6 linked regions of the Xenopus tropicalis genome follow. The protein of the gene in region 3 interacts with the protein of the main gene of each other region in a pairwise test. Links are inferred from orthologs where the notes say so. Each region holds a gene or a part of one and is shown on either strand. Other genes may lie near its edges.

The links.
Region 1: the proteins of mipol1 (region 3) and ttc12 interact in binary tests that used the Homo sapiens proteins (3 or more experiments, as listed by UniProt). The two-hybrid records come from large-scale screens. The link is inferred for Xenopus tropicalis from reciprocal best matches to the Homo sapiens genes MIPOL1 and TTC12.
Region 2: the proteins of mipol1 (region 3) and enkd1 interact in binary tests that used the Homo sapiens proteins (3 or more experiments, as listed by UniProt). The two-hybrid records come from large-scale screens. The link is inferred for Xenopus tropicalis from reciprocal best matches to the Homo sapiens genes MIPOL1 and ENKD1.
Region 4: the proteins of mipol1 (region 3) and utp25 interact in binary tests that used the Homo sapiens proteins (3 or more experiments, as listed by UniProt). The link is inferred for Xenopus tropicalis from reciprocal best matches to the Homo sapiens genes MIPOL1 and UTP25.
Region 5: the proteins of mipol1 (region 3) and fam161a interact in binary tests that used the Homo sapiens proteins (3 or more experiments, as listed by UniProt). The two-hybrid records come from large-scale screens. The link is inferred for Xenopus tropicalis from reciprocal best matches to the Homo sapiens genes MIPOL1 and FAM161A.
Region 6: the proteins of mipol1 (region 3) and cct3 interact in binary tests that used the Homo sapiens proteins (3 or more experiments, as listed by UniProt). The two-hybrid records come from large-scale screens. The link is inferred for Xenopus tropicalis from reciprocal best matches to the Homo sapiens genes MIPOL1 and CCT3.

The regions. Positions count from the first base shown.
Region 1 is NC_030683.2:86,554,324-86,557,974, forward strand, and holds part of ttc12 (tetratricopeptide repeat protein 12), read right to left. Parts: intron 1,620-3,651; 5' UTR 1,606-1,619; coding exon 1,554-1,605; intron 198-1,553; coding exon 28-197; intron 1-27. UniProt on the Homo sapiens protein: Cytoplasmic protein that plays a role in the proper assembly of dynein arm complexes in motile cilia in both respiratory cells and sperm flagella.
Region 2 is NC_030680.2:41,244,125-41,248,498, forward strand, and holds the start of enkd1 (enkurin domain-containing protein 1), read left to right. Parts: upstream 1-1,533; 5' UTR 1,534-1,656; intron 1,657-1,666; exon of another isoform or gene 1,667-1,739; intron 1,740-1,747; exon of another isoform or gene 1,748-1,948; intron 1,949-3,469; 5' UTR 3,470-3,490; coding exon 3,491-3,575; intron 3,576-4,374. UniProt on the Homo sapiens protein: Microtubule-binding protein which regulates microtubule organization and stability. Promotes the stability of astral microtubules and facilitates the proper orientation of the mitotic spindle.
Region 3 is NC_030684.2:108,906,259-108,909,909, forward strand, and holds part of mipol1 (mirror-image polydactyly gene 1 protein), read left to right. Parts: intron 1-228; coding exon 229-262; intron 263-1,886; coding exon 1,887-2,057; intron 2,058-3,651.
Region 4 is NC_030681.2:15,264,902-15,269,116, reverse strand, and holds the start of utp25 (digestive organ expansion factor homolog), read right to left. Parts: upstream 2,808-4,215; 5' UTR 2,784-2,807; coding exon 2,677-2,783; intron 1,401-2,676; coding exon 1,361-1,400; intron 258-1,360; coding exon 1-257. Other genes in the region: tbcc (tubulin-specific chaperone C), read left to right, coding at 2,849-3,988. UniProt on the Homo sapiens protein: Component of the ribosomal small subunit processome for the biogenesis of ribosomes, functions in pre-ribosomal RNA (pre-rRNA) processing. Essential for embryonic development in part through the regulation of p53 pathway.
Region 5 is NC_030681.2:33,459,548-33,462,596, reverse strand, and holds part of fam161a (protein FAM161A), read right to left. Parts: intron 2,721-3,049; coding exon 2,464-2,720; intron 1,702-2,463; coding exon 526-1,701; intron 1-525. UniProt on the Homo sapiens protein: Involved in ciliogenesis.
Region 6 is NC_030684.2:142,073,447-142,076,172, reverse strand, and holds part of cct3 (T-complex protein 1 subunit gamma), read right to left. Parts: intron 2,260-2,726; coding exon 2,142-2,259; intron 2,054-2,141; coding exon 1,867-2,053; intron 1,443-1,866; coding exon 1,293-1,442; intron 1,064-1,292; coding exon 931-1,063; intron 282-930; coding exon 200-281; intron 1-199. UniProt on the Homo sapiens protein: Component of the chaperonin-containing T-complex (TRiC), a molecular chaperone complex that assists the folding of actin, tubulin and other proteins upon ATP hydrolysis.

The sequences.
Region 1 (3,651 bases), on a different chromosome or scaffold from region 3:
CACCAAATCTGTTACAGCAGAACTTACAGAAGCACACATTCCTTCAGGAGATGTGTTTATGACAGTTCTATTTGCTGTTGTCCTGATTCCATCATCATTGTCTTTGTTCTTCAACAGAGCAAGCCTTTTGTCTGCTTTTAAGAAAGCCTCTTGTCGATGTGACTCATCTGAGGAGTTTAAATCTTGTATGATATCAGCTGTGAAAGAACAATATAGTTAAAACTTGCTGGCTTTGCTTGCTCATTTTTCTACATCGCATTATTCATACATGACATCTTACTGTCTAGGCCAATATGAATTATGAACAATCTTTGTAAACTGTGCATATGTTTGGCACTATATATATATACTATATATACTATAATATATATACAGGTATAGGACCCATTATCCAGAATGCTCGGGACCAAGGGTATTCCGGATAAGGGGTCTTTCCGTAATTTGGATCTCAATACCTTAAGTCTACTAAAAAATCAATAAAACATTCATTAAACCCAATAGGATTGTTTTGCATCCAATAAGGATTAATTATATCTTAGTTGGAATCAATTACAAGGTTCTGTTTTATTTCTACAGAGAAAAAGGAAATCAGTTTTAAAATTCTGAATTATTTGATTAAAATGGAGTCTATGGGAGACGGGCATTCCGTAATTCGGAGCTTTCTGGATAACGGGTTTCCGGATAAGGGGTCCGATACCTGTACTAAAGGATATTAATAATATTTTACAAGAGTAAGTATAAAGTCAATTTAAGACCATTTGGATATCAATATATATACCGAAACAACACACCTAGACAGAATTATGTATACAGGTATAGGACCTATTATCCAGAATGCTCGGGACCAAGGGTATTCCGGATAAGGGGTCTTTCCGTAATTTGGATCTTCATACCTTAAGTCTACTAAAAAATCAATAAAACATTAATTAAACCCAACAGGATTGTTTTGCATCCAATAAGGATTAATTATATCTTAATTGGGATCAATTACAAGGTACTGTTTTCTTACTACAGAGAAAAAGGAAATCAGTTTTAAAATTCTGAATTATTTGATTAAAATGGAGTCTATGGGAGATGGGCTTTCCGTAATTCGGAGCTTTCTGGATATCGGGTTTCAGGATAAGGGGTCCGATACCTGTATAACAATTAAGTAATTATATTAAACATATAATGAGCTATTTATATTATAATAACCTTTTGTATGTATTTAAACTTTAATGACACCAGATAAAGGAGCCATAGCCTCAATTACATGAGAAATTAATGGCCAACCTCCTTTAAAATCATTTCAAACTTTTATCATACAAATGCTGCCTTTTTAATTAAAGGATCTTACAAGACATCATGGGTAAAAACCCACGAGCACATGCTCAAACACAGACTGCAAATAATTAGAACAATATTCTGAAGGTTGTGACTCCAGCAGCAATAACAGTTGCATGCTTACATGACTGGCATGTAGATTTAATGGTGTTATTCATTTATATAATTCATAAGCGTTTTTTCTAAATTCTGTTGGCTCCACCTTTATTATAATTTGTTCAGGAACTTACTGATTTCGTCAATGTTTTTTAGGAAACTCTCCAAGTTATCCTTTGTAGGCATGGTGGGAAAAAATCCTATGAAAAATGATAAAAAAAACTATTGTTATCATAGCAAGTAATAATTATACTATATTATTGTTTGCATTGTCACTAAAGCCATGTATGATCAATACATTTTAAAACAGTTTCAATTCTCTATAGATGTGCTTGTGTAATTAAAGATTTTGGTTTAAATTAAATTTTTTGTTATCAAACAATTTGTGTCTTTTTAATCACTCAGATCAATTACTGCAATTATGTATGGACATGTATTGTGTATAATGTACATGTGTATTTTATGCTATAAGGTTTATAAGCAGCTCATCATTATATTGAACTGGATATGGCCAGATATGGTCCTTCGAGAGTCTTTTATGGCCCCCAACATGCCTTGGCTCTCCACTGATCTCTTTGGATGACACCATTATTTTATTTTTATGCAGTGTGCATGCAGCCTGAAGTTTTATGCCTTCCTTGCTGCCAATTATGCCTGCAGGATTTATGGTCAGCTCTGGTAGAAGATTATCTATTGGCACAGAAATGGCTGAGGTTGCTTCCAAATAGAATTCAAACTGCCAGCAAAGGACAGCTGTTAATTAATAGTGATTTGTGATGGTGTATATAAAGTGTGCCAAGATAGTAATAAAGATGTAAACAAGCGTAATTGCAGATTAAAACGAAACTTCAGGGATCTAGATAAACCATTTTTAAGCTGTTCCAAATGCGAATATACATTTTGACTTTATATTGCTAGCACACTAGTTTCCTCTGTACCTGCCATACACGTTGCTACTCTATTTTAACTTCTGCTTTTGCCCAATTTCCATACAATTTTACTTGATGTCATTACTGATCATTGAACGCTAGCCTCCCATTATCCTGCTCCTAGTGCAGTTAAAGGAGAAAAATCCAAATACCTTATTAATAATATTAGCCTACCCCATGTGTGGTTTTGACATAAATTCTTGGCTATAAAACAGTATTACATGCAAGGTATCTATTAACCAGAAACCAGTTATAAAGGTAAAGTATGCCAATAGTATTTTACAAAATGTCCTATGAAACAATTCTTTGTTTTTGACATATTGATAGCAAAATAATCTTATTGGGTGGGGGGTTCCCATGCAAGACCTATCCTCTTCCTCCTCTCGTCTTTCTTCTTGAATGGGGCCCTTGCATGAGCAGTCCAGTTTTTTTATCGTTAATGTTTTCACTGTACTGCTCATGTGCAAGTGGTGCAAAGACAGAAGAAGGAAGGGGATCACTTGCTTGCAGGTACCCCATGCTGGTGGAGGTTTCTGCCAACAGTAGCACTAACAGGTAAGTGATTACAATCATTGGGGGGTGCATTACAGGGGTTGTTACCTCAGGTGATACAACAGTTTGGTGCTTTGGTAGATCGAGGTCCAACAAGACTTTGGGCCTGGTTTGCTCATAACTGAGTATTATATAGCCGATCAATAAGACAATTCTTAAATATATTGTCTGACACTATTACTGTATAACTGCATGGACTACTCTGAGCAGTGACTGAGTGCTGGTAGCCTTTTACTAGGCCCTCGGTAGTTACTTGCGGTTACTGTTTGCAGACAGGTCTGCTGTACTGTAGCCCCCCTCACTAAGTCCATTAAAGTTTGCCACCCACCACAAGGAAGTAATCAAAGGGAGGGTGCATGCAATACCCCCTTGAAGATATTTTGCTCGGAGGCCAAGTCATCTGAAGTTCTGCCATTTTTTGTGGGAATAATAACACAAACTAACAACATTGAAAAAATTTGGCACAAACCAGCTATATTAATTAATGAACCCCCAAAAAACTGTGCTACATCCTTGGGCAGTTATGCTTGAAACACTGCTTGGATTTTCTCTGATGACTTGTGTAAGCCACTGGCATCTAAAACATGTTCACAATATTGCATAGAGTTCTTTAAGAAGGCACATTTTCCTTTGTTATGTCATAGCCCAAATTCTTCTAGCTGTGTCAGAATCCTCTTTATGTGTCCAAATGTTCTGCATGGAGAGATATCAAATAGATACTATAGGGAACACCTCCCACCTATAGAATCAT
Region 2 (4,374 bases), on a different chromosome or scaffold from region 3:
CTAATGTCTCTGGATGTCTCCATCAGGAAGTCCCCAGAACAACACAAATACAGGTAGAGAACCAAAGGATTTTTGTACCACAATGACTTATGCTAGTATTCACTGCAATGCTCATAGGAGCAGCATAAATACAGGCAAAGGGTAACCCATTCAGCTGAATAGTGCTCCCCTTTAATATGTCTTTCACCAAGTGCATTGGTGCTGGTTGATCCCCATTCCCAGGAACTTGCCTGATTCAGTCTGCAGGGAGAAGAATGAGCATCTCACTTGCAGCTTCAGTTATACGGGAGTGTCCTCTGGGGGTTAATTTAGCTCTGCTGCGAGGGGGGGGGGGGTGCAAAAGCTGACAGCTTTGCAAGAAGTCCACACATACTGAAAGAAAAGGGAACAAGTGGCAGGGCCGATAGCAGGGGGCAGAGAAAGTGCATGGGACAGATAAGACAATGGAGAGGTGGAAAGAGCAGGGGGCAAATAACTGTGAGGACGGAGGTACAAGAGGTAGAGGACAATTAACAGCAGGGGACAGGGGTAAAGGCTCAGATAACAGAGGGTATTAAGGTCAGGAGACGTACAACAATAGAACTGAGTACAGGGGGTACATAAGAGCAGGAAGCAGTTTAATGGTAGATGTTTTATAAACTGCACCTGAGTAGAACAAAGGCAGAGATGTCAACCAACCCATGTCATGAGGGAGAAAACGATCCACTCCAGGCTTTTTTGATAGTTTATTTAATGTTATCATTTAGTATGATGATAGTATGATTCAGGCCTAAAAAACAGGCCTTGATCATTATTTCCCTCATGACATGGGGCTGTCATGTGATCACCTAGACCACATGTGTCAAACACAAGGCCCATGGGCCGAATCTGGCTGCCTGGCTGTTATATGTGGCCTGTGGTAACCGTGTCTGACTGTGCAGCACCAATTGCCTGACTGTGCCGCTCCAGTCCCAGTGGTGCTGTGACTGTGCCTGACTGTGAGGGTCTATCCTTCTACTACTAAGTATCTTAATAAAAAATCAGGCCGTGGCTTAGCCTGTGTTTTAGATTTCAGCCCCCTTATGTTTATGAGGGGACTTTAGGTCACTAAAAACAAGTTGCATATATAAATTATGCAACATGGGCTAAAATATGCTATTTTCTAGGGACCTCAAGTCTAGTGATGACAGCATCACAACTGCTATTTTTTAATCACTTACAGTCTAGGTAATAACATTACATCATCACAATGTTCTATACATATATATATATATACACACATATATATTATATATATATATTAGATGATGATAGACAGACACATATATATATATATATATATATATATATATATATAGAAAGTGCTAGTGTGCAATAAGCAAAGTTAAACGACATTTAATTTGCAGAAGAGTGACATGAAGATTCACAGCATTATAAATAGGATAATGGCTGGGATAAAATGTATATTCTTTGATTTGCTTTTGAAGTATGATCGACGGACGAGCTGTGTCCAGCTAGGATCTAAACTCCTAATGCATATCAGGCTGGAGTTTATCCAAACGCCGGATGCGGACAGAACTTCCTTTCCGGATTAGCATCTCCCTTAGAGACCAGTACTGAGGCGGAAGCTGTTGTTGCTATGGAAGAGAGGAGTCGTGTATTTCAAGAGACCGTCAGGTAAAGTGTTTTTGAGAAGCCGTATACCGATAAAAGAAAGAAGGAGGCCTAGCATCGCACGTTACTTATAAACAAATGGGCAGGTGCGGTGCTAAATAAATCGACTATGCGTGGAATTATAGGTTGCTGAGGATTTTTTAAATGGAAGAACTGGCCACATACTACATGGCTTTTGGGATATGTAAGACTACACAGATAAACTTTGGTTACGGCTGCCTGGCTAACTGGGCTTTGCGCGTTCCAACTGGGCTAATGACGTCAGTCGCTGGTCTACCGAGTCTGTTGCGCGAAGGCAAGGTTCCACTTTGGCATTTTATTTGTTAAATGTTTTATGTTTTGAACAGTCTGATGTCTCATGTATGATTATTCACATAATGTACAGTCCCCGAAACACAAACAGTGTATGTGAGCTTTTTTGACAATTTCTCCCTGCGCCGTGACGTCATTCGTGTCGCCTTCTCCCCCCCCCCCCAGGGGTCGAACCAGCAGCACTGGTACAGCTAGTTATGCCCTGGTACAGCTAGTTATGCCCTGGTACAGCTAGTTATGCCCTGGTGCAGCTAGTTATGCCCTGGTGCAGCTAGTTATGCCCTGGTGCAGCTAGTTATGCCCTGGTACAGCTAGTTATGCACTGGTACAGCTAGTTATGCCCTGGTACAGTTAGTTATGCCCTGGTACAGCTAGTTATGCACTGGTACAGCTAGTTATGCCCTGGTGCAGCTAGTTATGCCCTGGTGCAGCTAGTTATGCCCTGGTACAGTTAGTTATGCCATGGCCCCTGCAAAAACGCACTGTTTGCAATTTTGAGCATTACATTAAGCCCCTAATAATAATGTATATATTTTATTGAGGGGTAAATACTAAAAAAAAAATGGATTTTTTTTTTACAATGTTTTTGTATATTGGTAGCATAGTTTTATGGCTGTGTTACTTTTCAGACATACACTGGACACACAAGGACAAACAAATGTTTTTGTTTTGCCATAGTATGACATTAAAACGGGTGCAAGTAAAACATGCTACTCACATTGATCTGACGTAATCATGGGAAGATGTGAAGGGAGGCATTTTTCCACAATTAAACCACAATTAAATTGAGCTGCAAGTAATATATTTTACTTGCGCTTATCTTACCTTATACTATGCCAAGTAATTTTCAGGAGACCCATTGCCCGCAGTAGAGCAGATTTAACCACAGGTGACAAATTTCACCCCATGCCACCACCCTAAGGGCTACATTCATCAAATCACTAGTTTGAATCCTGAAATGGGTAAAATTCGGATTTTATACGATAATTTCTGATGATCACAAATATCACAAAAATGCTTACGATCAGAATAGTCACGATAATATAGTATTTGTGCTCCGAAAGTCACAAAATTTTCATTTCCCCCTGTGATTGTAATCACTGTGATACCCCGTGCCAGTGCTTTTGTTAGCAGTTAACTGTACTGGCCCAGGATACATGCAAGTGAGCAATTCTCTTTTTTCTATGGGCCACATGTGTATGTGCAGAAGAAAGAAAAACAGAACTTTGACAAAAAATGCTGGGTTTTTCACTCTACTGCGTATACGTTGGCCCCAGGATCGCTAAGAAAGAAGACAGAAAGATGAGGATCACTCGCTTGCAGGTACCCTGAGCTGGTGCAGGTTTCTGCTAACAGGAGCACCAGCCCAGGGTATCAGGCAAGTGATTACAATCTCTGGGGGGGCTAATATTTGGCACCCCCCAGTGATTGTACCTTTCCTTCTCTTTTAAGGGAACCCTCTGTTTTGAACTGAAAGTGATTATGTTTTTATCCCCAATTTTAGGCTTTCTGCATAGTCAAGAAAATGTCAGAAGGTGCATCCAAAATTTCTGGGCCAATTCTTCCCCATACAACTCAGTTTTTAGACCTGAACAAACGCCCTTCTTCTGGTAAGAATTTTTTCAGGTGTACAACTCCCCTCTCAGTCTCTTTTACCTTTGAGCTCCCATAAACAATCTTGAATTAAAAAATAATATAAGCACATACCCACATAACAGTTTATATGAAAATTAAACAATGGACTCCAGATTTACTATTTTTGAAGAATCTACATAAATTCACATTTAGCTTGTTCATGGCATTTTAATTTGCTAATATTTATAGAAATTCAAAATTTAGTACAAAATTAAATGATTTTTGCTTCTTAGTAATATGGATATTTACCGTATGCTTACATTATTCTGTTCTAGGGCCCAATACAACAGGTTTAATATTGTATGTCCTCATAGATATATTATCTGCCAAACTATTTATGTAATATATTCATTGATGTAGTCTTGTAAAATGATATACATGGGCAAATAAACGAATCAGCCTGGACTAGAGTGTTAAAACATGAGGAATATACGGTTAGAACATATGAGTAGATTTTAGGGACAACTATATAAGCGTAAAAGCAACAAATACCAGTGGTGCCATTAGTCTAATGCCCAGTATGCATAGTGTATAGGGGGCTGATACAGGTATGGGATTCCTTATCCGGAAACCCGTTATCCAGAGAGCTCCGAATTACAGAAAGGCCATCTCCCAAAAATGATTTCCTTTTTCTCTGTAATAATAAAACAGTACCTTGTACTTGATCCCAGCTAAGATATAATTACCCCTTATTGGGGGCAAATCAATCCTATTGGGATTATTCAATATTAAAATAATTTTTAGCGGACAAAAATTATGGAAAGATCCCTTATC
Region 3 (3,651 bases):
AGATGAGCTCGGCTTTATTGAAAGATACAGCAGAACAGCTGGCTCCGTAATGCTGTAGGAGTGCAGGGCGTCCCCTGAAGACACTCAGAGGGAAATTACTTCAGCTCCCAAAGATTTGGAAAGAGAATTCATTTTGCTTCTGAATGAAGAAGCACTTAGCACTCCACTAGTGATTTATCCACTCCCTTAACTCGCTCGCTCACTTTCTCTCACTACTTTCCTTCCTAGGCTGGAAGATCTAAACCCTGAAGAAACCGACATGGTAAGCTTCCTTCCAAGGAAACATTTCCTCAATGGCTTTTTTAAAAAACTATTTTATTACATTTTTCATTATACGGGCATGGCTTGCACTTCCTGAGCAATGTATCAGATTGTACAAAATAAAGAGCACATCCCTATTAAACACATTTGTCCTTTATTTAAAAAGATTTATTTGAAATAATTGCTTTTAGACTGCAAAACCTTGTGAGCAGGATCATCCTGTTTTATCCTTGTTTTTCATGTGATACTCACCCCTCTTTGTTGTATTATTATTGCAAAGTGGCACTATATACAGAAAATGAAGTCTGATAGCTTTCCAAAATAGTTGCATTGTGTTATTATAAGGTGGGGTTAAAGAGAAAAAAGTTCATGTATAAGGGGTAGGGCCAAATCATTCCTCTCTCTTCCCTCTTGACTGGAGTCTGGAAGCAGTGAGCTGCTGTAAAAGCAGTGTGCTATTTTGGGTACTAGAAGATATATGTTAAAAAGTGGTCGTTAAAACTTTTTAATCATAGCGCAATTTTAATTGGTTATAGCCTGTGTTAAAAACAGGGATGCATATTGGACAGCAAAGCACACAAAGAACACCATTCATTTCAGTGGCCAGATACTTCACTAGTGTCTGTTCCAACAGAAGGATTTCGGTTCTGTTTTCATACATTAACATTTTAAAGCTGCTTTGAGGGGTTTTCTCTGCCTTGCTAAGTGTTCTTAGTCACTTGTCCAGTCCTGCTCATGTTACAAAATCTTGCAGTGAAGATCTTGAACCACTGTGGGGCTAATGTGGTCAGCAGCTTATTAGCACGCGTATGAGGCCCACTGACCTGCATGCCCAGCCAATATCTGGCAGGTTTGAAAAACCCATCAGTAGAGGACCACTTTGGTGTGTTGATGCAGTCCTCATCCAACAGGGCTTCTTAGGCCCTCTGTACTATCCAATCATTGGCCCAGGCTCGACTTGGCCCAGTGCTTTGGTGCCCAAATTGGGCCAATATCCCCTCATTTGGAGGATCTTATTTTGTGCATCCACCTTAAGTCTGACTGCCCTTTCCTGTTCAGCCACAACATATATATATATATAAATTTTTATTTTTTTTTTTATGCATTTTAAATGTATCTTCCACATAATATACTTTAGAGTGTTTTATAAATTGTACACACACATATGTACTGTTAATACCAGTTGCTCTGGTCCACGGGTGCTACATTAAAAAATGTAGCACTATTTCTAAATATGCATATCGTTTATTTCCTGTCTACCTTCCATTTGATTTCCCTGAAATAGACATTGTGAGGATAGCTTATTGTGGGCACCTTTACTCATGCACACACAAATATACACAATTGAGTTCTTTCTGCCATAGAAATTGCCTAATCTGCCCACTAGATGGCAATGTTGTTCTGAAGTCTATGGAGAATGATTCAGTTGAGACAAGCAATGAGGCAGCACACACTTTTTTAAATATATATTTAGATACTTAGATTAATATTTTGTCTTAAATTATAGCTTGATTATTCTAAGTACTATAAATGATTTAAATGTAAGTTAATTAGGTTTTTTCCAAAAGCTTTTCTGCAGGTTATCCCACGTCCAGTCACTCAATTTCATTTTGTATGGCCTACAGACACTGCAGCAGCTATTGGCCCAGTTGGGAGAAGCAGAAGGGGGTGCTGCCATTCAGGAAAATGGAGCACTAATATTAGAGCGGATTCGACAAAGTCAAGAGAGAAGAGAACATATCACAGCTGAAGAAATGGGAGCCGTCATCCAGGAAAGGGATGCTGCTCGTGCTAAGGTGAGGAACCAGACATAAATATATGGGGGAGTTATATCCACAAGTGCAGTCACCATGTTTTTTTCCCCTGAATTCTAATGCCATTGTAGTTGAACAAAGGTGGTGCTCTTAAGGCAATTGTGTGTGCTGCTTACTTTTACGTGATTGCTGATAATTAATACATCTTAATACACTTCTTTTTGGTGTATTTGTTTTTTTTTTTTTGTTTTTTTTTCAAAGTATGATAAATAGGCCCCTACATACACTAAAGGTTAGGCCAAACCCCACTGAGAAAGCATATATGCCCTGATGGGCAGTTAGCATGGTGGAAATAAAGCCAACTTTCTGACCATAGCACTGCACATATTGACTTGTGTAGACAGCCATACAGTCAATTGTCTTTTTGGGTACATGAGCAATTTTTCATTTCATGGTAGTAGGGAGGCTTTATAGCATGCAAACATGCTGAGAATTTAATCAAGCAGTTAGGCACATGAGGGAGAGAGGGAAGATTCAACAGGCTGTTCCTCAGTCCTACTGGATTATGGTCAGTCCAAACTAAACTTTTATTTGGAAATGCCCCACGTTTAGGGTTGCCATCTGACTGGTAAAAATGATGCTTGATGCCAATGTTATTAATAGCGAAAAAAGGCAAAAATATAAGAAGGCTGGTATTTTTATCCAAAAAAGGTGGCAACCCTAACCCACATTCAACTTACTTTCCTAAAGATCCACATGTTTGGGTTCTCAGCCCAAATGAATGGGAAAGGTCAGCCTGTGTATGGGCACCTGTAAACTGTGTATGAACAAGCTAGGAACACAATAGGGGTAGGTAATAAAAGGCATTAAATTTGCCAAGGAGCAGTAACTCATAGCAACCAATCAGCAGGTAGAATTTACTAGTCAGCTGTTTAAAGGCAAACACCTTATTGGTTGTTATGGGTTATTGTTACTGGGTAACTTAATGCCTTTTATTACATATGGGGGTATGTATTTATTTCAGGGGTAGATTAATGAAAGATTGAAAGGGGAATGCAGAAAGATTTCTGGCAGTTCACTGTTTTTAGGTTTTATCCAAATAATTTTTTTTAAAGAACTGAGCATTTATTAAATCTGAAAGGTGTCGGATTGAATGTTTTTGACTTCTTTGAGAATGTTCACTTCCTATGATGTAGGCAGCAGTGCTAAACATTGATATCCATTCAATTCATTTATCACTGGTGCAATATGAATGATTTAAACATTTATTTTCCAGCAGGGACAGGAAATTGTAAAATAGCAAATGACTGGTAATGTGTTGCTGAGAGGTAACTATCTTCACTGTCTGGTAAAATTACAATTTGCTAATCTGCTAAATTGCCCCAGTGTATTAATTTCTGTTTATTTTGTAATTCCTGGTTTTGTTAAAGTTTGTTTTTCATGACACATTTTTATATTAGGCCCCAAACTATAAAAGTCATTTGTAAATCCATAGGTAAATAAGAGGTTAAAAGAATGTCTTTTGGGCCAGTCTCCCAAAATATCTCGTATTCCTGTGCTGTTGAATGCGCTGGGGCTCACAGTGCCTCGTTGCTTTCTCAGGCTGCAGATGCTTTTGCAGGTACAAAGCAACCTT
Region 4 (4,215 bases), on a different chromosome or scaffold from region 3:
TCCATTTGCCCGTGGCCTTCCCCGTCACTCTCATCTTCATTATCCTCATCCTCTGCTTCCGATTCCTCACCCACCTCTTCTGCCTCATCTTCCTCTTCTGCTTCTTCTAGGGCTTCTTCTTCCTCATCATCACTTTCTTCTTCCTCTTCATCAGACACAGTATTCAAGGTGGCGAGCAGCTTGTGGTACATGTTAACCGGCTCGGGATCACTCTCTGCCTCGCTCTCACTTCGGGATTCATCCTCCGAACTCTCAGGCTAAAATACAGACAAGTCAGACTTATAGTAACTAGAAATATCAGCAACGCATTTGTATTTTATATAAAAGCAATGTACAGGTTTCTGTTATCTAGAATGTATTCCTGGGCTTTCTGGATAAGGGATCTTTCTGTAATTTGGATCTGCATGCCTTAAAGAGGTGGTTCACCTTTAAGCTAACTTTTAGTACGTTATAGAATAGCCTATTCCAACAACTTTTCAATTGGTCTTCATTATTTATTTTTATAGTTGTTTTAATTATTTGCCATCTTGTCCCAACTCTTTTCAGCTTTCAAATGGGGGTCACTGACCTCAGCTCAAAAAAAAACTATTACTCTGTGAGGCTACAGTGTTATTTTTACTTTTTGTAACTTTCTTTTCTATTCAGCCCCTCTCCTATTCATATACCAGTCTCTCATCCAAACCACTCCCTGGTTGCTATGGTAATCTGGACCCAGCAACCAAATAACTGCTGAAACTCCAGACTGGAGAGCTCTTGAACTGAAAATGAAGTAACTAAAAAAGCTACAAATAAAAAATGAAGACCAACTGCAAATTGTCTCAGAATATCACTCTCATACATAATACTAAAAGTTAACTCAAAGGTGAACAACCCCTTTCAGTCTACTAAAAAATCATTTAAACATGAAATAAACCCAACAGAATTTATTTGCCCCCAATAAGGATTAATTATTTCTTAGTTGGGATCATGTGCAGAGAATAAGAGAAAGATGGCCTTCCCTTAATCTGAAGCTTTCTGAATAACAGGTTTCCGGATAACGGATCCCATACCTGCACTAACATGGCTGGGTAGTAACATGAAAGATCACACACATACTCCCTTATGCCTTCACATAGATATTACAGTTCTACACCCATAATTAGTTGAAATATAAAGCTAAGGGGAAGTAAAGCCACAAACTATAATTCTGTATCTGTCCATAAAGTAGGTTTAAAGTGTTTTAACGTAAATTGAAATTTCCACCCATCTCTTCCATTGTGATTTATGTTTAAAGAAGGTTTTAAATAGACATTTGCAGTATATATTGGCAACAGCTACATTCTTGTTTAAACTGGAAGGCTCAGGCATTACAGTCACTCACCAGTTGAACCACCTGGGTTGTTTCTTGTTTCTTGGAGACTCTGCAAAGAGAAAAGGGATCAGATTTACAATGTTTAATAACAAGCTGGTGGGCCCACCAAGACATACAATCAGTAGTCTGTACCAACCCCCTGAACCTCAAAGTACCTACTAACCTAGCTGTTTAAAGGGGAACTCCACCCAAAAAATATGCAGCCTTTTCTTGATTTTTAATGTTATAATATGGTTTGGAACAGTTCCCTAAGCCCCGCCCCCTGTTCCCCTGCTGATTCGGCTGGCTACTTGGAGACTCAAATAAAATGTCCTCAGCCTGCCTTCAGCCTGCATCCTCCCAATCCCACAATTCCCTGCACACTGATGTCAATAAGGAAAGGAACATCACAGTACAATGCATTGTGGGTTATGTAGTTCCTGCATGCTGTCTGTATGCTGTCTGTAAGCTGTGGAGAAGTTGTTACAATTTGTAACATCAGTGTTTTACTCGGTTTTATGTTCCTGCAGGGTAACACTTACTATATATATATATCTTCTACTCATGTCCCCTTTAGGGCCTCTAATGTGGCCCCTGACTATCCATAAGGCATTATACATTATGTTGATAATACTGCAAAATACCACTCAGTGCAATTATTATTATTATTATTATTATTAACATTTATTTATAAAGCGCCAACATATCCCGCAGCGCTGTACAATAAGTGGGTTACATACATTGGACATACAGAGTAACATATAAAGCAATCAATAACCGATACAAGAGGGGAAGAGAGCCCTGCCCAAAAGAGCTTACACTCTACATCCAATATATTAACTAAAGGCACAACATTGTCTCTACTCTTCTTGCTCTTACACCTGTATGTGCCCCCAACATTCCCCTTGATATCGGGACATTTGGGAACAGGATAAGTAACATGAGTATAGTTACCGGGACACCGGGACACTCTGGGCTGATTCTCCATTTCCAGATTCTGCCCAATATTTATATTCACCTTCCCAGCTACCCCTCCTCTATCTGAACATGTCATTGATCCCTTTGTCCCCTCCCCAAGGCAATAACAGTAACTCTGGCCTATAATGTTATGTATCATTGCTGTTCCATGTGCGCCCCCAAGTGGTTACTCAGGGCAGGGCAGGGGGGGGCACTACTATGTGTCCCCCCTTTTACTTTATTTTCCTGACACTCAAGCTGCTATTTTAACTCTTGCATTGGCCATGGTGTGTTTGCCTGGGAAATGTCAGACTCTAAGAGAGAAGGTTTGAGTCCCCGCCATCCCATCCCATCCCCATACCCGGACGATATGCTCCGAGGCTACTCACGCATCATAGAAGGGGTGCTGCTCCCCAAATTCCTTCAGGTGCTTCTTCTGTTTCTTGCTCAGGGCGCTGCCAGCCTCCTCCCTCCGCGGCTTCCTCCGCTTCCCCATCTCTGCACTCTAACCACGTGTGCGCCTCCCTCTCCGATTGGCTTCCGGGTTCTGTCGCATAGTTGATGACGTTGACCAATAATCACAGAGAGGGGCGGTACTTTTACGCCTGGTTTTACCTCATGACGCAAACATCAGCCGACTGCGAGGTACCGGCTCCCAGAAGGCAGTGCGCCGCAGACAGCGCCATGGAGCCGGAGATGCAGCCGGAGTTAGAGGGAGAGTCGCTGGCCCAGCGGGGGCGCCTCCCTGAGCGGTTACAGAGGCGGGACGAGGAGCGGCAGCGGGAGGCGGACAGGAAGCGGCAGGAGAAGGAGGGCCGCGCTGTGCTGGAGGAGAGGAGCGCCCATTTTATCGCCTCTTTCGGCTCTGACAGGGCGGGGATCGAGGAGCTGTTGGGCAGCGAGGAGTCGGGGGCCCTGGGGGAGGCTGCGGCTCGGTTGCAGCGATTGCAGAAGCTTCTGAATGACAGCCTCATGTTCCTCCCGCCCTATGATATCCGCCAGGCCCAGGACTCACTGGCCCGAATGCAGGGGGCTCTGGGGGCCAAACGCCAAGCTCTGCAGCCCCGGGGCAAGTTTGCCTTCAAATCCCGCAGGAAAGAGGCGGCCCCTGCAAGTAATACCACCCCTGCGGGGAATCCCACCCCTGCAAGTAATCCCACCCCTGCGGAACCTCAGGCCAAACCCAAAGCGGCGGAGCCCCAGGCCCTGTGTGGGCTGCGCGGACTCTCAGGCCAGGCCCTGTGTATGGAGGCAGCTGAGATCCAGAGGAGAGATGTTGCGCTGAGCCAATTGCAAGACTGCACCGTCACCCTGAGGGGCTCCCCCGCCACCCTGCATATCCGGGGCCTGCGGGGCTGTAAGGTGCTGTGTGGCCCCGTCTGCACCTCGGTGTTTGTGGACGACTGTCGCGACTGCCTGTTTGCCTTTCCCTGCCAACAACTGCGCACTCACAGCACCGAGCGCTGTCGCTTCTACATTCACGTCACCAGCAGGGCCATCATCGAGGACTGCGCCCAACTGCACTTTGCCCCCTTCACCTGGTCCTACGAGGGGATCCTGGGCGACTACGAGGCGTCCGGCCTAGACAGGGCCAATAATAATTGGAACCAAGTAGATGATTTCAACTGGCTGGCCAGGGATGTCCCATCTCCAAACTGGGGTGTCCTTCCAGAGGAGGAAAGAGTCACCGACTGGGCCTGATGCTCTGGGGACATTGGGCGGCCAAGGAGGATTGGCACAAGTTCAGGTGGAAGCTGGACATTGCTTGGAAGACCCAAGAGGAAAGGATAAAGCATGAGCGCTACATTGCCTAAAGGGATTTATATTGGAACTCGCATTCCTGGCTTCTAAACAGTTGGAGCCTTTTGCCTCAACCCTTATTTGCTGGCCGTACAGACATGGTGCGGGCCTACAGGTGTTTGGGCAGA
Region 5 (3,049 bases), on a different chromosome or scaffold from region 3:
GCACTCACTGCTAATGCCTTAACAACAGAGGATGATGTACAGGTTATGGGTTGTGACACACATCGTTCTCTTCAAGTGAGTTACATACACCAACACTGAGTATAAAGAAATTAAATATGTGCAGTATTGCACTTCAAGACACACAAACAAAAACAGAGGGGGTTCTGTGATCTTCTGACCATCCCGCCCTCGTTTTCAGCACCCACCGCTGCCTAAAAAATGCAAAGCGTTCCTAACAGGACACTCAATAGCTCAAGATTTTGCTGTCATCAATGAGTTGAGCATATAAGCTGGCTATCAACAATGGACTGCCACAGAGTGACATTAGACGAGTACACACAGCATATATTGGTGTTGAAAGTACCTAAAGGCTGCATATTTAATTAGTAGCTTCTACTACAAGAATTAATTGGCTCCAGGCCTGTGCATGCCTAATTGATCCCTTTGACAGCTCCAGATAACCCTTTTCTGTCTTCTAAAAACCTGACTGAAATGAAATTGCACCTATGAACCAATCATGGTTACCTGATTGCATGCTCTCTCCTCTTTGATAACTCAGTTGATCTTGGGATGTTACACAGAGCTTCCCCTTGTGGGTTCAGAGTCCCTGCAGAAGAATGTATTCGGGCCTGGGCCCTAGGAGATTTATATGGCCAACGTGTTTCTTTTAAGTTTTCTTCATCTGCTTGAATGTCCATTATAATTTTCTCTTTATGAGAGGGAATGTTGGAGGTCCGTAGCTGGAAAGGCTCACAGACTGTAACATGTTTTGTAGATGTGCTCTCAGGTAAACGTTTCTGCTGATTTTCATGCATGGTTTGAGAGTGAGGTATGGTCGCACTGATTTTGGGCTTGTGCTTTTGCTTTTCTTTGGGTTTGTAGCATTTTCCTTTCTTAGTGCCTGAGTGAGCGCCAGGAGCAAGAGTGATGGTAGGATATGAGGAATTTTGTAAAAGTTCCTGCGCTCTCATATGTATCCGGATCCCTCGATACAATTCCTCTTCTTTTAGTCGTTCGGCGGTAGAAGTTCCATAAATAGACTTCGGCACTGGCTTGGCTTTAAAATGGTTTGCGCTGGGTACTGATGTTGAAAGGTTCATAAAGTCCAGTCGAAGGGTTTTCTTGCGTTCCTCTCGCTCAATAAACTGGAAAGGTTTCTGAGTGGCCAGTAGAATATCCTTGCTCTTTTCCTTCACAAAACTGCGTCGTTCCTCATTCCTCTCCACTATTTCCTGATAAAGTGGCAGATACACAGAAGATGGAACTGGGTTTGCTCTGAATTTTTTTTGGCATTCTGCCTCTTCTTCCAGCTTTTTCTTCAGCAAATTGTTTTCCAGCTCAATCTCGGACTTTGACTTTATATTCATCTCTTTTTTCTTGGATTCCCGAATTGTCATCTGGAAAGGTTCAGGAATGGTAATTTTGTGAGACCACTCTTTGGACTTTTTGCTAGTTTTATTTTTTGCTATTTCTTTGGAAAAGTATTCAGAATTTCTGATATAATCCTCGACTGTGAATTCATTCCACATGTCAAGAATTTTATTTCTAGCAGATACAGAGTGCTCTGAGTCACTGCTGTCTCCATTGGTCGATTCATGTGAGCTTTCTGATAAGCTGGGAGAGACACTTCCACTCAGGCTGTGCTTCAAATACTTATCATCATATTCAGCTGGAAGCACAGATTTAGGTTCCCATGCTGATCTAAAATGTAAGAAATGGAAAGATATAGTCTTCAATGCTACATTGAGAGCAGTGACAAAGCATAGCAAGTGCTAAATCAAGAAGAAATATTAAATTTTACAACTGGCCCTAGGGTTGAATCCGACCCTCCAAACTCTATTATTGCCCTCATGCTGTCCAATAGTTCAACAGACCTTTATGTGGGACTTTATGCAGGATACAAGGATCATACACGTGGAACTGAAAGGTGAATGACTAATAGATGGAAAAAAATACAACTATATTTTTCAGTATTAACTGACTGTAAGAGCTGATGCTTTGCCTACTAAACCAGCACTTTTTGAGTTTCTTCATGCAGTGGGGCAACATCATCAACAAATTGTATTAAATTTATAAAATCATATTAGTAAGGCAATGGACCCCTGTCAAGCACCATCCCAAAAAATAATTTGAAAGGCCTCATGTGATTCATGAACCTCTACTATATAATGCAGACAGGGTCAAAAAGGGCTGGCAGGAATTAAAAGCACCTGAGCACATACCAATACTATTAGCTGCTTAATACTAAATACTTGGTGTTCTTCTATAAGGCAAGGTCACACAGGGAAAATTATCACTGCTGCTTGTACTGTAAAATTGCCAACCACCTAGCCACTGACATCAATAGAAAGAAGGGCTGCATGGTCAGTAATGGTGGATCCAATGTGAGTAGAAAGAACTATGACAAACTACAAGCAGTGACAATCAAAACACTCTAGGTGACAACAGACAATAGCTGCTTACCTGTAGACTTCCCTGACAACTCCCTGTTCATTCTCTGGGTTGTGAACCCCACTCAGATGTAATTTTTTATCATACATTTTCTCCAGTTGTTCCATATTCTGCAGATGAGCTTTTTTTAGCTTCTCTACCTGAACATAATAGTCTTTGTCTGGATGATGAACTTTGGAAATGTCAAAAACCCAGTCTTGACATCTGCGGGACTTGCAGCACCTGGCTTCTTCCCAGTCTAAAGCAGCAGCAGGAGCAGCAGGAGTACCCTAACAAAGGACAAGAAAGTGTTCAGAGTAAATGTAAGCACCTCTGTGTGCAAAAAACATAAGTAATAAAACTACTTATTATTCCATGTATCCTTTAGTTATTCATTTGAAAAATAAAGCCTGGGTAGTGTTTACCCTTGAACAACTGCAATGTTTTTCACTGGATATAACATTAGGAAACCTTTGCCGGTATAGTTGTATCTCTATTGGGGCTGTCTCTGCCCATGGGAAGCCACTGCAACAAAGACCAATTGACAAGGTTCAAGTTTACTTACAGCCATACTAACTCTTTGTTTTAGGGTAACAGTTCACTAATGTCTCTGTATGAA
Region 6 (2,726 bases), about 33 Mb from region 3:
AGGAAGGTCAAGTACAGCAAAGAAAACTGTCCCCACTGCCGTTTATTGCCCCATTGCCAGGGCTGACTGAGCCCCCCCAAACCTCATTACTTCCCTGAAGGCCCCAATGGATAAGGGTCACTGGTGTTCTCCAAATCCCACCTAACTGGGGCCCCCCGTCGGTATAGAAGCAGGATTTCTGTATGAGGGGGGGTCTCACCTTGCTATTCTGTTGTTGTCAGTTTTGCGGACTCTGCGTATGGCCGTGATGTTGGCCTTCACCAGGTAATGCTGAGCCAGATCTGGAATAAACAAATTGCATTAGAAATAGGGAAGGCGGAGTCTCTTGCCCCATGGGGGTATTTAGGGGGTATATTTATCATGCTGTGTAAAAAGTAGGGCCGAATCCGGCTTTATTTTTTTTTTATGGATTTGGTTTCGGCCGAAGCGATGGTTCCGGCCGAACCGAATCATAAATAGCATTCAGAAAGGGTTAAATGGTACTGGGAAAATTTTTTGTTGCAGCGTGCAGAGCGCGTGACAACTTTTAACCCTTCGGCCGAACCCCCAAAAAGTGGGTTCGGTGCATCCCTAGTAATAAGTGGAGTGAAACATTACCAGTGATGTTGCCCAGAGGAAGCAAATTAGATTTCAACAATTAGAAAACCAAAGCATCTGATTGGTTGCTACGAGCAACATCATTGGTAATGTTTAACTCCACATGATAAATATACCCCTAGGGGTGCATAAATATGGCCCCAGGGGCTGCTGCAGGGTGCCATGGACACAGGGCCTGTGGCTAGGGGGTATTTATACATAGGTAACTGGGTGCCGGTGCCTAGGGTGGCAGTTTTTGGGAGGCAGCCCTTGGACCCCCACAGCTGGGGGGTATGTGGCCCATAAGCTTGCACTCCTACCCCCCCCCAGAGTTCCTAGGTGACAGATCATTACCGGAGATGCCCTTCTCAGTGATGACAACGTCGGGCTTGAGTCGGATGATGTCCTCGCAGACCTGCTGGATGTACTCCTCCTCCATCTGCAGAATGCGGGCGAAGTCCTCCTCGCGCGTGATCTCAATCTCTGTCTGTGGGGGGGGAATGTTATTGTGGGGATAAAGCGCCATACGAGGTGGGCGAGAAGAACCATATGGGGCACGGGGTATCTATGGGGCACAGAACCTGTGTAGGAGGAGCCTGTGTGTTACGTTGCTAGGGGCTCCAGTCATAACAGAACCCCCTGCTGTATATAAGCCGTCAGCGGGGTCGGACTGGGGGGGATTCAGGGGCCCCCCCACCGGGAATCTCTCTGCATACCTGGCTCTCCCCCTTCTTGTACTCCAAGGAGCAATCCAGGAGAACGATACGAGGGTTCTTGATCAAGCGCCGCATCTTGGGGTGAGTGACGTCCTTGTTGACCATGACGCCCCGTAGAACACAGGAGTCTTCAATAATCCCCCCGGGAATCTAATAGTGGGGAGAAAGGAAACACTTAGGGGCAAGTCAATGTTAAATTCTGCTTTTTCTTTCCAGCTTTTCAAATGGGGGTCACCGACCCTGGCAACAAAACAACAAACCCTACTGCTGTGTAGCTTTTAATTCAGTAGCTCTTATTCATCTTCCCATCTCTCATTCAAACCATTGCTAAGTTTCTAGGGTAAACTGAACCCTAGCAACAAGATAACTAAAAATTGCCTAACTGGAAAGCTGCAGAACAAAAACAAAAAAAAAAAAAAGACCAATTGCAAACAGTCTGCCTACACCATACTGTGGGAATTCAAAGTGTAGTACCACTTTAATATTCCCCCCCCCCCCCCCCCCCCCGAGCTATAAAACCTAAATATTCTGTACCTGGGGGAGGGGAATTCCCCGGCACACAATGGCGTCTCACCTTCTCCACTTTGGCGTATTTCTTGATGTCGATCTCCTTTCGGCCGTTCTCCTCCAATTCGACGGTTTTTACGGCGTCCAGAGCGATGCCACAGGCCATATCCGCCCAGCGCTTGATCGCCTTGGTATTGACCGCACTGTTAATGATCTTCAGCATCAGCTCGCGGTCATTTGTATCGACTGGGGTGCTGGGGGGGGGACAGAGACGGGAGGTGTAACGGCACAAACACACTAAATTCTCGTTCCCCCAGGCACAACAGGATCCCCGCGCCCTACCTGATCTCCTTCAGGGTGCTGACCATGTCGTCCAGGGCTTTCCGATAGGCGCTGATAACCACAGTAGGGTGCATCTGCTGCTCCAAGAACTGTTCCGCAACCGACAACATCTCTCCAGCTGTGATATAGGCGTAATGTGTTAGATACACCGCGCCAGCGCCCAGCCCACCCCCAGCTACCGCGCCAGTGCCCAGCCCCCTAACCCACCCCCAGCTACCGCGCCAGCGCCCAGCCCCCTAACCCACCCCCAGCTACCGTGCCAGCGCCCAGCCCACCCCCAGCTACCGCGCCAGTGCCCAGCCCCCTAACCCACCCCCAGCTACCGTGCCAGTGCCCAGCCCCCTAACCAACCCCCTAAGATACCGTGCCAGTGCCCAGCCCCCTAACCAACCCCCAGCTACCATGCCGGTGCCCAGCCCCCTAACCAACCCCCAGCTACCATGCCGGTGCCCAGCCCCCTAACCAACCCCCAGCTACCATGCCGGTGCCCAGCTCCCTAACCAACCCCCTAAGATACCATGCCAGTGCCCATCCCCCTAACCAACCCCCTAAGATACCATGCCAGTGCCCAGTCCCCTAACCAAC